Arabidopsis thaliana: one gene and its partners. The protein of the gene in region 3 interacts with the protein of the main gene of each other region in a pairwise test. Each region holds a gene or a part of one and is shown on either strand. Other genes may lie near its edges.

Evidence for each region. The genes of interacting proteins can lie anywhere in the genome.
Region 1: the proteins of AT3G43240 (region 3) and GATA4 interact in a two-hybrid assay, tested with the Arabidopsis thaliana proteins (one large-scale study listed by BioGRID).
Region 2: the proteins of AT3G43240 (region 3) and AT5G22355 interact in a two-hybrid assay, tested with the Arabidopsis thaliana proteins (one large-scale study listed by BioGRID).

Annotation. Positions count from the first base shown.
Region 1 is NC_003074.8:22,371,385-22,375,065, reverse strand, and holds GATA4 (GATA transcription factor 4), read right to left. Parts: upstream 2,054-3,681; 5' UTR 1,719-2,053; coding exon 1,509-1,718; intron 1,432-1,508; coding exon 919-1,431; 3' UTR 512-918; downstream 1-511. UniProt on the Arabidopsis thaliana protein: Transcriptional activator that specifically binds 5'-GATA-3' or 5'-GAT-3' motifs within gene promoters. May be involved in the regulation of some light-responsive genes.
Region 2 is NC_003076.8:7,399,783-7,404,483, reverse strand, and holds AT5G22355 (Cysteine/Histidine-rich C1 domain family protein), read right to left. Parts: upstream 2,778-4,701; 5' UTR 2,723-2,777; coding exon 728-2,722; 3' UTR 512-727; downstream 1-511. Other genes in the region: VAMP714 (vesicle-associated membrane protein 714), read left to right, coding at 15-105; ELM1 (fission ELM1-like protein (DUF1022)), read left to right, coding at 3,738-3,923, 4,604-4,701.
Region 3 is NC_003074.8:15,209,305-15,216,727, forward strand, and holds AT3G43240 (ARID/BRIGHT DNA-binding domain-containing protein), read right to left. Parts: upstream 5,644-7,423; 5' UTR 5,137-5,643; coding exon 4,984-5,136; intron 4,740-4,983; coding exon 4,548-4,739; intron 4,331-4,547; coding exon 4,277-4,330; intron 4,189-4,276; coding exon 4,100-4,188; intron 3,969-4,099; coding exon 3,692-3,968; intron 3,585-3,691; coding exon 3,528-3,584; intron 3,397-3,527; coding exon 3,365-3,396; intron 3,218-3,364; coding exon 3,082-3,217; intron 2,996-3,081; coding exon 2,822-2,995; intron 2,423-2,821; coding exon 2,183-2,422; intron 1,989-2,182; coding exon 1,686-1,988; intron 1,610-1,685; coding exon 1,472-1,609; intron 1,391-1,471; coding exon 1,292-1,390; intron 1,197-1,291; coding exon 1,096-1,196; intron 1,008-1,095; coding exon 917-1,007; intron 836-916; coding exon 728-835; 3' UTR 527-727; downstream 1-526. Other genes in the region: AT3G43230 (RING/FYVE/PHD-type zinc finger family protein), read left to right, coding at 111-295; AT3G43250 (coiled-coil protein (DUF572)), read left to right, coding at 7,409-7,423.

The DNA of each region.
Region 1 (3,681 bases), 7.2 Mb from region 3:
GTTTCATTCATGTTTTGAGTTTTGTTGTTGTTTTCTTGAGTAGTCTCAATTGACCTCAACATTTTTGCAGTTTCTTGATATTTGAATTTTTGTCTTTCTTTATACATATATTTGATCCTCTTTTTTCTTGGCTTGGTTTAGTTGATAGTTTAAGCGGAAAATTAACCAAATTAGATTAGTTTTGTATGGTATTTCTGGTTCGATATCTTAATGTTAAGACCTTGCTTTGGTTTCTATTAGGATTCGGTCTGTCGGGGTTCTGGATTTGAATAACGGTGACACTATACACCACATTATGGTTCAATTTTCAGATCATTTGTTTGTTCTGTTTCGGTGTTACCGCCTAACCAGTTTAGTTTATTTATAAGAGGTTTAAGCACTTTGTATAAGAGTATTGGTAATTTTTGGTTCAGATGGAATAAAGCGAAAAATTGTTAGATTTGAATAGCCTAAACCAGAGAGAGTTAGGTTTGGTATGGCTTAGGTTACTATTTTTTAAGAAAGTAGTAAACTGAATTGCCTCGTGAAATGCCAAAAACTCAAATTCTCAAGCATGTAACATGTATGATGTATGTATGAAGATTAACCAGCATTGTCATGTGTGATATAACATCATAAGTCACAAAAAGCAGAGTCCATGGTGGTTGAGAAGCTTTTATATCTGAAAAGAGGAAAATTAAATGCCGCCAATGAAATCATTTAATGATATAACTTTAAGGAGAGCCGTGAGACCAATAAACAAAAGCAAGAAAAAAATCAATAGAAATTACCAACAAATTAATTAGCAGAGATTTGCAAACTTTAAACTAATACTGATAATTAAGTCCTTAACCCCTCCCGTCGGTCACGTGATCATCACCGTTAAGATTACGACACGTCACCAAATCACAAAAACCCTTGAAAAGAAAACCCCCAAATTTACTGCGGCTGAAACGGCGGAATTCGAACGCAAGATTCTTGTTGTTCCTTCTGTCGCCGGAGCTCCATAACTTTCCGATGAGAGTTCGAATGCTGAGTCAATACAAACGTCGGACTCGACGCCGGTCTGTATTCCGGTACAAGCCTCCCTGATTTGTAACGAACTCCACAAGCGTTACAAAGTGTTTTAGGTCCAAGCGGTCCAGTTCTCCACTGTGGCGTTTTCTCCGAGGCACAGTGCGTGCACCGCCTCGCTCCATCCGCCGTAACCGATTCAGCGTTGTAGACTTTCTTCGGTTTAGGTTTAGCGACGGAGTGACAAAGCTCTGATTCAGACATCGGAGCCCAAGTTCCAGCTACGGAAGGTGCTGGTGCTCTTGATCGGCGACTTCTAGGTTTTCCGGTGAATGAAATCTCGGGTCTAACGGTCATGGTTAAAGGATTTGCTGGGAAATCGGAGAATGAATCGTCAACGAATCGCGATAACCATTCGAGATGAGCTGCGTCGTCACTCTGCAAAACTCAAAATCAGAACTTAGAAATTCAAAATCAAAATCAAAATTAGGGTAAATTGAAATTTGAAAACGTACGGGAACGCAGAGATCGTGAGTGAAGTCGGTGAGGAGAGTAGGAGAAGTGTAGGTGGAAGAAGGAAAGCTGAAAGGGTTTTCGGAAGAAGCGGCGGAGGAAGCGGCGGAGGAAGTGACGGTGGAAGAGGAAGAGAAGATTTCGTCGTTGGAGAAATCGAGAAGGTCGTCGATACGAAGCAAGTCCGGTGAAGACATGCCGTAGACGTCCATTGTTGACTCGGACTCGCTTACTGAGTATGTATGTGGTCACTGGTTCAGAGGTTTAATATAGAGAGAGAGAATTAGTGTAAGTGAGGAAAGAGACGAAGATGAGAACGTGCATAGAGTTAGCATGCACCGAGACTGACCTGACCACTCCCTTTTTTTCTATTTATTTATCCACTTTAATATATTTGTCTACATTTTTCTTTGAACATGCATGTGCTATTTAATTTACTTACCAGAGGATTAATTAACCATGAATTACATAATGCATATACTAGTCTTTTTTTAAAAACGCATATATTATAGATCGAGCTTATATTCTAAACAAGCATTTTGAAAACATTTCTTTCAAAACAGACACTCTAAACAGTAAAAGCATATAATACTTCAATTTTTATTGTTACGGACATTTTTGCCCTTAAACTATGAACTGGAGTTGAGAATGAGGTGAAAAGAATGTGTTTATCTTCTAAAAATTGTATCCCCATCTCTGATTCAATTTTAAGTTTCTTTTGACATCCAAAGATATATGGCTTAGATAGTGGACTTGCAGCTTCGACGGTAGGCATGAAGCTTTGACGATAGCACAAAGATTTGGTGGTGGTTCACGGCTTTGACAACGAGGGGTAACGAACGGCGTCAATGGTAAACGCTATACCCTAGAATTAGACTTGTAAACCCAAACCGTCAAATATAGAGTATGCAATTCTTACATACACACAATAACACAACACTACAACCATCCTCATTATCATCAAACACCATTAACATGAACAAAAATCAATGTACTTGTAGACATGATTATGAACATCAATTGAGCAATCAACAAAGTATCAATCACTTCTTGAATTCCTTAACCTGCACAAAAATCACTGAACAAAAAAACGTGCAAATCGTAATACTAAATCGTGGGACTTTTTTGTTTCTTGTTTTTTTTTTCCAGATCTCAAAATGTGGGATGTTAAAAATCTAGATCGCATTCACATCTCATGAGGACCGATTGTTAGTCGTCTGAATTTCCAATCGTCGCTGACATCACTCTGTAATCAATGACTCCAAAGTTGTTGGTGTTGGTCGCAAGTATTTTTGATTTCTAGTGTAAAACGTAAAAGTTCATCAACAAAGAAAGAACAACATCATCTCTCTGTAAGGGTAAAAACGACTTTCCCCAGGAAAGAAGTGCCTAAATCTAAAGATCATTTCAAAAGTGCCTAAAATAAAATATATATCTAAGACAAATGCCTTATTTGCAATAAACTCATTATAGATCATAGTCTATAGTTTTATTAATTTAAACAAGTAATGAAGGGGAAATTAAATAAATGCAAGGTTACTAATTTTATTTTTTTCAATAAGCCTCTCTCCCTTTTGTTAATTAAATTCTTCTGCCATCTCCTAAAAAGGTTTTCCGATTTTTTTTCTTAATTTTGTTGAAATTTGTGAGTTGGATCATTTAGTATCCCGTTGAGTTTTTTTTTTTTTTTATGTTTTCTTGTTCAAAGAAAATAAAATAATATTCTCCGGAATGTGTAATCAATCATAGAGTTGAATTTCAACATGACCAAAACAAGGAAATAGAGAACAAAATTGGCTCAACAATTTATTAATACAAAGTGATGCGAATGTATAACTATCTTGTTTCTTGTGCTTACATGAATATTTCGCATTTTGCAATCACACTTACAGAAAAAGAAAGAGACACAGAAGTGGGACTAGCTTCGATCGTTGTAGAATAGAGTGTACACAAGTATCTAATATCATTCTTCAGTAACCTAGCATGTCTTTCACAGGTTTGATTAATAACTAATGTGATAACGTTTAGAAATATCCTTACTACCAGAAGTAACGAAAATTTAGTTTTGATAAAGAGTTGTTTTGACATATTATTTTAAACATTGAAGAGATAACTATAAAAATGTAGTGGGGAATGGGAAAATGGATGGAGACAATGAAGGAGATGAGTCGACCG
Region 2 (4,701 bases), on a different chromosome or scaffold from region 3:
TTTGTGTTCGGCAGGGTCTTGTTGACATGCTTGATAGTTTTCTTGCTGTACATAATAATCGCATCTTTCTGCGGAGGAATCACTTTACCATCATGCAGATCTTAAAATCTGGCGGCCTTATCTAAGGTATACTGAAACGGACCACTGTTTTTGTAAATCAACTCAGTCGCATCATTTCGATTTGAAGCCTTGGTTTTGTCATGAAAATGACTGTGAGTTTGAAGTTACATGTCATGGTCCTCCTTGCTTATGTAACTCTTGTAAATGTCAAAATCAAAATGATACAGAGGTTCATTGAACTCTTGCCTTGTCTTTTAGATTTAGTCACGTGAGTGAGTTTGTTCTCTGTATTTCCAAAACTTTATCCGCTGTGTCTTTATAATTTTTGCATTTGCAATGTACATCACATATTCGTTATTTTTGTTGTTAAAATTACTTCAGTTTTCATCTTTGTTTAATAACATTTCTGATTCACAAATATCTGTTTCCATCATTTCTGTCTATGTTTTCATTAACTAAATCATATTAGTTGCTACTACCTTTTTAGCAAGTTTGTCATAACTTGTTACGACTTTATATATGTCATCGATACAGTTTAATCCTGCCTGTACTGATGAACACAGTATGAATATAACCAGAATGCTTAGCACTTGTAGTTGGAAATAAACTCTTACATCCAAAAAATTACGAGAAACAATAGAGTGAAATAAACAGCTACATAGTTGTCTTAGCTGTATTGATAGTCGGGCACTACACATGCATCGGAACAAATGTATCCAGTATATGGATCACAAAGCTTTAGAATGATAGGAGCTCTGCATCTGGAGTGACATTTTGCACAGAAGGGGCGAGAACTATAGCTGTTAAGAACCACTTCAACTCTAACATTATTGTAGTTGATGATGCGTCCTGGCATGAGACGTGAAAAGTCTCCAAGCACACATTCAATATGTGCAGTAACCACACATTTAGAGCAAGTGTAGAACCACTTACTTGGATCTGTTTCCGCCTCGCAAATATCACACCAATATTTTCCGGTTGCATTTTCGCCATAGCATAGGGAAAGAGGATGATTGTCGCAGCTGTGCTTTACCGTTTTTGGTAAATCAGTACAGTGTAAATCCAGATCAAAGTCACAAGTGTCACAGGAAAGCAGATAACCATCTATCTCTTTATAACATGCATCACAACAGTGATCTTTCTTATGTTCGTAATATAGAGGATGTCTGTGACCATCATGAATGACCGGTTCAGAACGCGAACCACAACGTACATCTAGAACCCACCAATCAGAAACGTACCTGAAACCAGTAGACTTCGTTCTACAAGCATAGCAGCGAAAGACATCGTAGAATCTAAAATCTTTGCTATGGAATGTACGAGGTGGTCTGGACCATAGTGTGAATGGTTTTGTGTGGAATACATGTCGTTTCTTTTTTGGATGATTAGCGCATTTCTCATGGAGAATGAAACGACATTCCTCACAGTTGTAGATCGGATCGGAATAGATAGGAAGGACGCATGCTTCACAACGTGAGCCTTCGTCACGATTGATATTGTCCTTGTTGAGTCTTAGATTATGTTCTTCATGACTGAAATGCTTGATCAAGTTATCACCCACCACTTTGAACGGCACAATATCTTCGTCATCATCATCTGGTGTCCCTTCGAGTTCTACCCCATCCCATACGTCTTTTCTTGTTGCACATAGTGAATGAGCTGCATAGTTCGGGCAACGAGGGCATAAATAAGCCCCATGGTATTGACTTATATCTTTGCGACAAATACCGCATCTCGAGTACCCAACACCGAGATGATGGGTGAAAGAGATGCGATGATCGTGACGGTTGATGTTTATGACACGTGGTAAGTCAATACAAGTTCTATGGACAACAAACCCGCATTGAACACACATGTAAGGACTTCGATCACCTTGCATCCCACAAGCATTACATTCAAATGAGATGAGTCTTGATAAGAGGACAAGTCGATGCTCGTGCGTCTTATGATGCTCGATAGCAAGTGGTGGTGGATCTTTTGTACAGAATCGACATACGCTGAAGTTGCATATCGAGCAGCGATAAAGCACTTTGTCTGGTCGTTCTCCACATAAAAGACATGTCTCTTCAGCATCACTTGTTAGTGATTCATATTCAAGTAACTTGAGAGAATGTTGAGGATGAGAAGGATGATTCACCTCTTGGGAAAGATTGACACACTCGACATGAAAGTGGACTTCACATTCAAGACATGCATAAGAACATCCACCATTATAGCCCTTGCAAATTCCGCATCTGCGCCTACCCGGCTTTGCGGGTTCTTTCAAGAAGATAACTGGATGATGATGAGACTTTGGATGTTCGATAGAAACCGGCAATGGATTTATCCCACAAGTGAGATCCACGATGAAGTCACATTTTGATGAACAACGATAACCAAAAGCGAAAAAAGTCTTGCCACATAGATTACATTTACATGGGTTCCTTAGAGAATTGTGGAGTTTAAGAGTGTGTTGAGGATGAGAAGGATGGTTGATAATCTCCGGTGGAGCCTCTGCGCACTCTTTGTGGAAGAACAAACTAGTAGAGGAAGGCTCGTTGCAACGGTAGCCGCCATAGATGGGACCTTTTATATTGCAACCTTTACAAGAATCATTAACAAAACGAGTCGAAATGGTCAAAGGATATTTGTGAGTTGGTAGTATTTTGGGTGGTAGATCCATTTTGTGATTCAAATGCGGTTTGTTTTCTGGAGATCTCAAGATAATACTACATCATATGAATGCATCTTTGTAACCCCAATATAACAAAGACACGTAATGTGTGAACACCTTAACGATTCTTGTCTCCAATGAATCATGTGCAATCGATCCTGTTTTCCACGAGATGATTATAATATATAGTTGAATTATTTCATATTCCTAACTGTTTACAACCTGCACACATTAAATTATCTTATCATCGTTATAGCTACCTATGAATATAATAGTATGAAAATACCCAATAAATTAATTTCCTAAACTCAACATCTAACGTGTTAACAACAGCTAAGATATATAATTATATTGAATCATTTCTGCAATTTCATATTCTCTATCGTGACACTCGGAGTCTTGAGATCGCTAGATTTCTTTGAATACTATGATTGGTAAAGTCGTGTGTAAAAAAGTTAGACCGAGACAAAACGAGGCACAGGAAGAACAATAACAGTTGGGCTTTTTCCAGATAAGGCTTCACCTTTTAACAATCAAATTCTACATATTGGGCCTACGAAGAGGTTCATAAGATTTGAATAGACAATTAGAAAAACAGCAATTATGTGACAAATAGTGTTTTATTCTAATTTTGGATGACTATCGGTGAAATTTTAATTTTAATCATCATATAACAAAACAAAATTCCAAAACTTCAAATTCTAAAATCAAAATTTTTAAAATACCATACAATTTCTTTTTTTTTAAACAATTGTATGTTTTGTATTGACAAAATTAGTTTTATTGATTAGCAAAAAATTCGTTTAAGACCTTAAATTTGTCCTTTGTTAATTGTTATACCAAATTTTAGCGTAAAGACAATCTCTTGAAGGAGAAAAGGAAAACAATCTCTCTTTCTGTGACCTTTCGCAACTTGTCAAAGCACCACGACCTTCTCTCTACGGAGTTGAGATCAATCCCCCCAAATCTCGGTGTGGTTCCTCTAGGGTTTTTGATCGGAATCGGAATCGATAATCTAACCGGCATGAGGCCAATCCTATTGCCGGATCCACCCAGTCTATCTACCGGCGTCCCTGATATTTTCGAACAAGGCGGTTCCCATAACGTCGTCAGACGCGCCGTCGTCATCGGAAACGGTTTCCCTGGCTCCGAGAATCAGTGTATCGGTCTCGTTCGTGCGCTCGGCTTATCTGATAATCACCTTCTCTACGTGAGTTTCTTTGATCTAGGCTCTAGACGTTTTTAGCATCTGCTTAGTGCTTTCATTTCGTCGACTATAAACCATTGATACTATACTCGAAATTCTCGTCAGTTTTTGCTAGGCGCATGATGTAGTTGAGAGATTGATGATTGCTTTTGGATAGGAGTTTCTTTTACTTTGTTGTTTCGTCGTGTGTTCTAGGTTTTTAGCTTGTTAGGTCTCAGTCTAAGTAGGAGTGGAAATTTCATATTGTTTAGTACTTCTTTAGAGTGTATGAATGTTCAGAGAAGGAGGAACTATTTGAATTTTTATGGAAACAATGAATTGGTAAATATGTAAATTTGCCAATATCTCAAGTTCTGCAAATTTAGGGTAAACAGTGGAAGGTTCTTGGGGTGTCATAACTACCTATATTGTCAGTTTTATTTATAATTTTTTTTGGTAAATCTTAAAGAGAATTGAATCATTGGTGGAGCATGATGCTGGTGCAATTACTGAATTTCGTTTACAAGGAACACTGGTAGTGGAGTCTTTAATGCTTCTTTTAGATCAGTTTGGATGCATATAAGGCTGTTTTGCTGTGTCTGGTTTCTCTAGCTTCTTGATCATTCATAGACTCGACATTCACGTAAATTTACATTTAACATGATTTTTGGTTAGCTGAGATTATCTCTTTTTCTTTATGCAAGCGAGTGACAAGGCCTAAAGGAGGACTAAATGAGTGGCTGCACTGGCTCCCAGTTGGTTTTCACAAGAAGTTGGACTTTATCCTCAGGCATATTTACCT
Region 3 (7,423 bases):
CTTAAGTTTTCTCTTTATCTATAATTTGGCCAGACTCGTAGCTCAATAATACAGAGGAAGTTGAAATGTAAATCTATAACCTGAGAGAAGTTGTTGTGTTGTGTGAACAGGGGCATTTGTGGGAGTATCTCTAGAAGGAAATCTGGTGGCAACAAGAAGGGACATGAATGTAAAGTTCTATGGTGATCCATACCTATCCACATCGGACATTCTACTTGGGATGGTGGATCAACCCAAGGCAGCTGAACCGTTGTACACCGCCCTCCGAGAGCTCTATGCTCGTTTGCGCCCGTAATCTCCATTCACATTACAAACTACGCTTTGTATATATACGCTTCTCAAATTCGTTTCTATTAAAGTGTAAATGTACATAAATTGTTTCTCTCTAGAACCAAACAGTTGCTTCCCCAAACTGTGTGAACGATTTGGGATTTACTTATTTTATCAAAGCTTGTTTACCTTTTTGAAGCTTGTTTATCAAAGCTTGGTTCTATTTGCATGTCTATTCATTTGTTACAGATAAAATGATATTGGCAAGTCCCTTAAATATGATGCAAAATCTATAACGTTCACTATTTTTACATTCTCCGATTCATTATAAAGATAATGGAAAGAAAAAAAACCTTGCATTGCAAAAAAACTCGTGAAACATTAGAGGAATCAATCAATCATTTGGTTCCAAGGCAAAAGTACAACAAAAGAAGAAACATGAACCTAAGGTACAAAGCTAAGGTACAAGCAAGCCACCGTTGGAGGTCTTCTGAGACTTCTTCCTGTAATTTGAGACACTACAATTTGGGCACACATATTCCAACCCATCTGTTTTTGCATAGTCCTGTATATATCATATGTTGCATCAGTACACATATTATTCATTGATGCTTATTACGAGTTTACGATGTGTTCGTTTAGTTACCTTGAAGGCGCCGAGGCCAGGCCTTCTGTCACATCCGAAATGAGCCCACTCTCCACATGATCCACAGTTCACCCAGTCACCAGCTGTGCTACTGTTTCAACCAAACCAAACCAAAGCGCGTTAACAAACAAGGCGTTATTAACCGTGTACACAAGAGAGAGAGAGGGTTCTTAATGTACCTGCGACATATTAAACAGCACTCTCCATCTACATCATCATGAGCATACTCATACTCCAATAGATACGTCTCATAGTGTCTTTTCAGGGTATTACCCACACCCTGCCATAATAACCCCAGAGCTGATGATCAGATATACATTCTCTGATTTTTCAAGAATAAATCAAGTGGTGAGACAAGAAAACAAAATCATTTACAGTCATTCTGTTTGTGAGTGTGTGGTTGCGCATCTTTGAGAAAACTTGTCCCTTCCAGTTGATCCCATTACCTACATGGAACCCTCCCCGTGATACAACCTGCAACAACTCTCATTATTAGCTCACCAAATGTAATGCTGGCTGCCTTGGTTGAACAAAATCAAATCATTGCTTAACTACCTCTCTATACAAGTTGAAGAGATCAAGCCGTTTTGAGTTGAGAACAGCATCTGGAAACTCCGCTAGTCCCCCTGGAGGAACTAGCCGGGTATGTCCTCGTATTAGCAGAAACTGCATTACATCCCTCAGAAACTCCTCCTACATATATAGAGATAGCAATGTTAAGAGGAGTTTATAAGTTCAAACTATTCATCACAAGAAAAACAATGCAAACCTCTGAGCAAACTTGAATATGCGCTCTTCCACAGTCGTGTTTTTTTAAAGGTAGAGGGTTTAGTGAGATGATTTGCTTTCTCTGGTACGAACCAGAGAAAGCTTTACGGTGAGTTACTGGAGTGCCACCTGATGCACCATGCTTTGGAGGCATAGGCAAGCTTCCTTTGGTGTGGTCACCATCAAATCTTCCAATTTCAGAGTAACCAGAGAAAGGTATCATCTTATGTCGACGGGTGTGAGGTATTGGTCTCAAAGCAGCCACGTTGATTTTCCTTGATGTAGGTCCTCCGTTTTCAATTTCCTGAATATAAATATTGTCACAGCATCCAATCAGTATATACATGAAGACTGATGAACATTTGGCAGAAGTATGGCCACAAAACTTATCCCTGATTAGAGTTGAAATCATAGAGTCTAGCTCATGAACAAAGAATAATTCCAAATTAACATTTTGTATAGAGAGAAAGTTTCAACCTGCGATATCCGAAACAGTACCTTACTTTCTCTGCATGGCTCGGATCTTTTTCTGGTTGGCAAAGGAGGTGTTAACCAGTTAGGAATTTTGGATAAAAGAGCATCATGATTTGAAGTATCATTGATCTGTTGTCCGCAGAAGAAAAGTAAACGTTCTGCATCATCTTTCTCAAAGGAAGCAACAGACAACCCCTGAATGCTAGCTACTCCAAGAACGACTAAACTGCGGTATGACACATCCGGCGCCAACTGTCTTAAAACCTGTCGAAAGCAAAATAACCTTTTCTTAGTCACGCATTAGCAAGTGGAAACTCATGAAACGCAAAAAATCCTGAGAACCCAAAGAGAATGTAAATCACATGACTATCTGGATGTAATCACTTAAAATGCACAAGTATCATGAATAAAGAGTGAAAGCAATAAAGCACGAAAAATGGTCCTTGGACATCCCAAAGCTTGAGTTAAACGTTAAGAAACATGAAAAGCCTTTATTTCTACCCGTTACAATTTCATAACAAACTTTTCATCTGAAACTCTTGTGACTACTTTGGCTGACTAAATTGTTGAGAAACTTGGAAACAAGGTGCATGAGATAAATAATTGGGCTAAAGATTACTATCTACAACAAATATAAGTCGAGGAAAGAAAGAGATTATTAACCTGCAGAGCCCATGTTGGGACTTGCATCGAAACTTCACACACACTTGCTCCACAAGCTATTGAGGCAGATCTACGAGGCTCAGAGAAACCCCGCTTTGTTTCTTCTGAGTTCACCACTGAATGGACTAGTTGGATCTTCTCAACGACCTCATGTTTTATGTGATTTTCCAAAAGCTGATATTTACATAGGAGATTAATAATAAATCCCATTGCACATGTATGCAGAGATAAGCTATATTTCAAAAGATATAATCCCTTGCCTGATCACTGAAACAGGTCTGCGCATTTCCAGACACAAGCATTGATATGTGTGCTGAAGAACAGGTCGAGACATCACAACGCATGGTCACTACACCACGAGTAAATGTTCCTGCTTGAAGAGGAGGTGCTGGAGCACTGCAGTTTCAATTTTGATCAGCAAAAAAATGAAAAGTAACCAAGTACGTCTTAAAACTAAGTCAAAAGGCACAAAACCATAGATGATTAATCTTAAGGTTATTCGAGGGATGCGCAACATATCATTTGGCTATAGAAATTACATACCTAGAACGGTTATGGAGCTTACTTCCTCGCATCTGGAACAATATAAAAAAATAACGTTCTTTTAAAAGGACTAAAAGAAGACATATACAATTAAGTCCATCCATACATTTTAGTATGCGCACTAATGAAGAAATATCAAAACTGTAAACTACCAACTACTCACTTCTATTCGCAAGAGAGCATTAAGTCCATCCATCAAAGATCCCAGTAAAAATGTATCCTGAAATAGAGAAAAAGCTTTGTAACTGAAGATAGCATAAAGAAATACTAACATCTGCACAAACAAGCCAGTATCATAAAATGCGCGAGAAGGTCAACAACACCCACCACTGTGCATGGTGGTCCACACAAAAGAAACCTCACAGTAACATCTTCATCATATATCTTTATTGATGGGAGGCTCTCTAATGAATTTTCCTCTTCTAGTTCATCAGCTTCCGGTGAAACCACATCAATCTTTGGAGGTTCTCCAAGCAAGCAAGGTCCCATCTCATAATTCATTTTACGGTTGCTGTTAGAAGGAAGGACAGCATTGTCACTTGTACAATAGAGTCGGAAAGATGCTTCTGCAACATGGAACACATCCCATGTATCGCTGCACGAACTGCATTGCCAAAGAGCATATCACTGTCAAATAAATTTGTAGACTAGGGGAAAAAACTATATAAAATATAGATGTAAATCAGACTAAAATTAAGGCTTGTCGCTATGTCAGATGCTCGAGTAAACAATTACCTCTGTATGACTGAAAACAGAGAATGGCGAAAATGGCAGGCTGCATATTTCGAGAAAACATTTTTCCAATAAATAACATATTGAACACCCTGCAAAAGAAAATCACCATTAGGTGAAATAGAGCAACAAAGAGGTAATAAGAAGAAAAGTGAAAGGTGCTTATCAAGAGTGGTGTACCTTAGAGTAGAGTGCTTGAGCTAATTCTTCACCATTTGGGAGCTCAAGGTAAACCTGTGAAAACAATATGATGCCAAAACATATTAATATCTCACTAGGTATGGAAAATGTTTTAACATTCATGTAGAGGATACTCTATGGAGCCTTTTAAGCACATTGTCAAGAGACTAACAGCGATTTATTAAGAAAATCTTAGTGGCATGAGGCATCAACGTAAAAGGAAATCCTTAACTAAAAACGAGAAACGTAAAACAACGAATGATGCACCTACCGTTGTCGGTAATGTGGAACCAAACAGAGTAACCAAGGCATCAGGAGTAGAAAAATCAGTATATCCCAACACTAAGGGACCAACTTCATCACTATCTCCACTATGTTCCCCTTGCAAGTACACAAAATCCGTTGCTGAAGAGTTAACAGCAACCTGGAACTCCTCCGGCGTAGGATTATTCAGTACCTGAAACTACAACATGAAAAAAGCATACACCAAATGCTTTAACATCTCCATTAAGAAATCACTTAGAACCAAGATTCTCCCATCAAGTCTACCAATTTCTAAAGGCCTCAAGCAACACAACCTATAGCAACAACTCTCACCAGCTAACAATTCCCAAACTTAGTTCAACATTGTCTAAACTTACTAAAGGTTCCAACTTTCAACCAACAATCTAGCAAATCAATTACGAGAATTAGAAAAGTGTTTTTACCTTGAGACGCCCTGAAGAAGAGAGATCTGGAAAAGGGTATTTGGGTTGATGAGAAGTTCCATCTATCTGGTTATTAGTATCGCAAAGCTCTGCTCCAGAAACAACTGCCACAACATTACAACGGTTTCTCGAAAACCCTTGTCCATGAAACATCGTTCAATAGCATAACCAAACTTCTAATCTCTCTATGAAACTAGACCACAAAGAAAACCCTAAAGAAATTCAACGAATAAGTTCGTTAAGAACCCACTACTCGACCTCAAAATCAGCCCTAAGAAGAAGAAAAAAACCCTAATTTCGAACTCGTAGGAAGAAATCGACGGTACCCAGAAAAGAAGAAGACGAATTTTATTGGAAAAAGAGAAACCTAAACAGAGAGAAGAGGCCCATCACAAAAGATCACAAACACAAAAGATTAAAATTTAGAAAAAATCTGAAGAACAACAATAAACAAATTGATGAATCTTTTCTTTTAAGAAGCTATAATAATAATAATACTCTACAGTGTTTATCTTTGTAACACTAAAATCAAAGCAAAATTGTTAATCAAAAGGTAAGAGAAATTTAACTAAAAAACCAAACAGAGGAATTAATTAACAACAACAACTAAAAATGTTGTTGTGTTTGGTTTTTTTTTGTGTTTTTTTTTGTTTTGTTTCACATCTTTTAATCGTGTTTTAATTCAAAGCTTCGTTTAACTCTTTAGGAGCTAAAACCAACGAACATCATCATGAGGATGTAAGAGACTTTTAAGAAGATATGTTCATTTTACTTGGAACTTCCAAGTTCTACACTTTGATCATCGTCTGTCTCTTGTCCAGATAGAGCGAGTATAGACATCCTCTTCCCTACACTTGTTATTTGACCGCAACCGCAAGACTTTTACCATGCTGGTCGGTCAAACTTATTTTTGATAATTGTATTACAAAGTAAGCCTGGGCGGTCTGATATTCGAATCGGATTCAGATCAAGATATTTGGGTTTGGATATTTTAGATTTAGAATTCTAAGATCTGTTCGGGTATTGAAAGATTTCGGGTTTAGATCGGGTTTGGATCGGGTTCAGACCAAGTTTTTCGGGTTTGAATTCAAGTTTATCCGGAATATCCAAAATTTAAGATTTATATCAAAATATATTCAAATTACTTGAAAATACACAAAATTTCTAAAAAAAACGTTAGTATTTTTTATCCAAATCTATCGAAAATAGGTAAAGTATCCAAAAATATATAAAATATTTTAAAATCTAAATGTTTAATGTTTATGCACTTAAGTTGTTGTATATGTAATTATTACTAATTAGTCATTTCTAGGTATATATATTTTGGATATATTTGGATACTTGATCGGATTTAGATTCAAATCGGTTTCGGGTTTTGAAGTTTAAAATCCGTTTGGGTATTCTAAAATTTCGGATTCGAGTTTGGATCACGTTTTTCGGATCGGATTCGATTCAGTTCTTTAGATTCGGGTTTTTTGCCTAGGCATATAAAGCTTGGATATATTTGTGAAAAATCATTTTTCCATCTTTCTGTTACATATCGTGAAGTACTGGAGTGTTACTTTCCTGGGTCGTATATATTTGACATTTCTCATTGACTTTGAGCCATCCTAGCTGAATGTACGCATTGTGCTGCTTTTTATTAGCCGCCTTGTGTTGTTGTCATTGGTAAAAGCTACACTAACAATATGTATATTCTATCTTAGTGTAAAACATTGTCATTACCTATGTTCTATACTAAAACAAAGAATATACATATTGTGATTGTTGTTATCTATACATGGGACTTAATCTCACATGTGTTACTATCTATGAGTTTGTTGGAGCGTATTGAAAAATCGATGTGATCGACTATATCAAAATTATGTAAATAATGAAAATCTAGACGATCATGATATCTTATAATTTCTTAGTTTAAAGTATTTACATTTTTCTTATCTTAATTTAAATATATATATATATATATATATATATATATATATATATATTGATGTATATTATAACATTATTTTTATGAGTATAATACTAATTTTGTTAAATAGTTTATGTGTTTACTCATCAATTTATAAATTTGGGCCTCGTGTGAGATCTATAGATAAACATATTGTAATTCTTTGCTGGATGAAAGCATAAAACTTTACGTTAAGTCGTTATGTATAAATAAAAGTTGAAAATTACAAAATAAACGTGTTATTTGTTTTGCCTTTTTCTATAAGTCGGCCAAGCAAAAAAAAGAAGAAACATAGCAACTTCATCTTCGGCTATATAAAGAGAATGTCTCATAACTTTTAAGGATCATCCAAACAAAAAATACAAGAGAGAAGAAGAGACAGAGCAATAGAGATATATCAAGAGAGAAGTTAGATTCGCTTCTCTTCTTTTTTTGGTAAACGTTTGATTCTTCTTCTTTGTATGCTCTGAAGTTATGGGAGAACGCAAA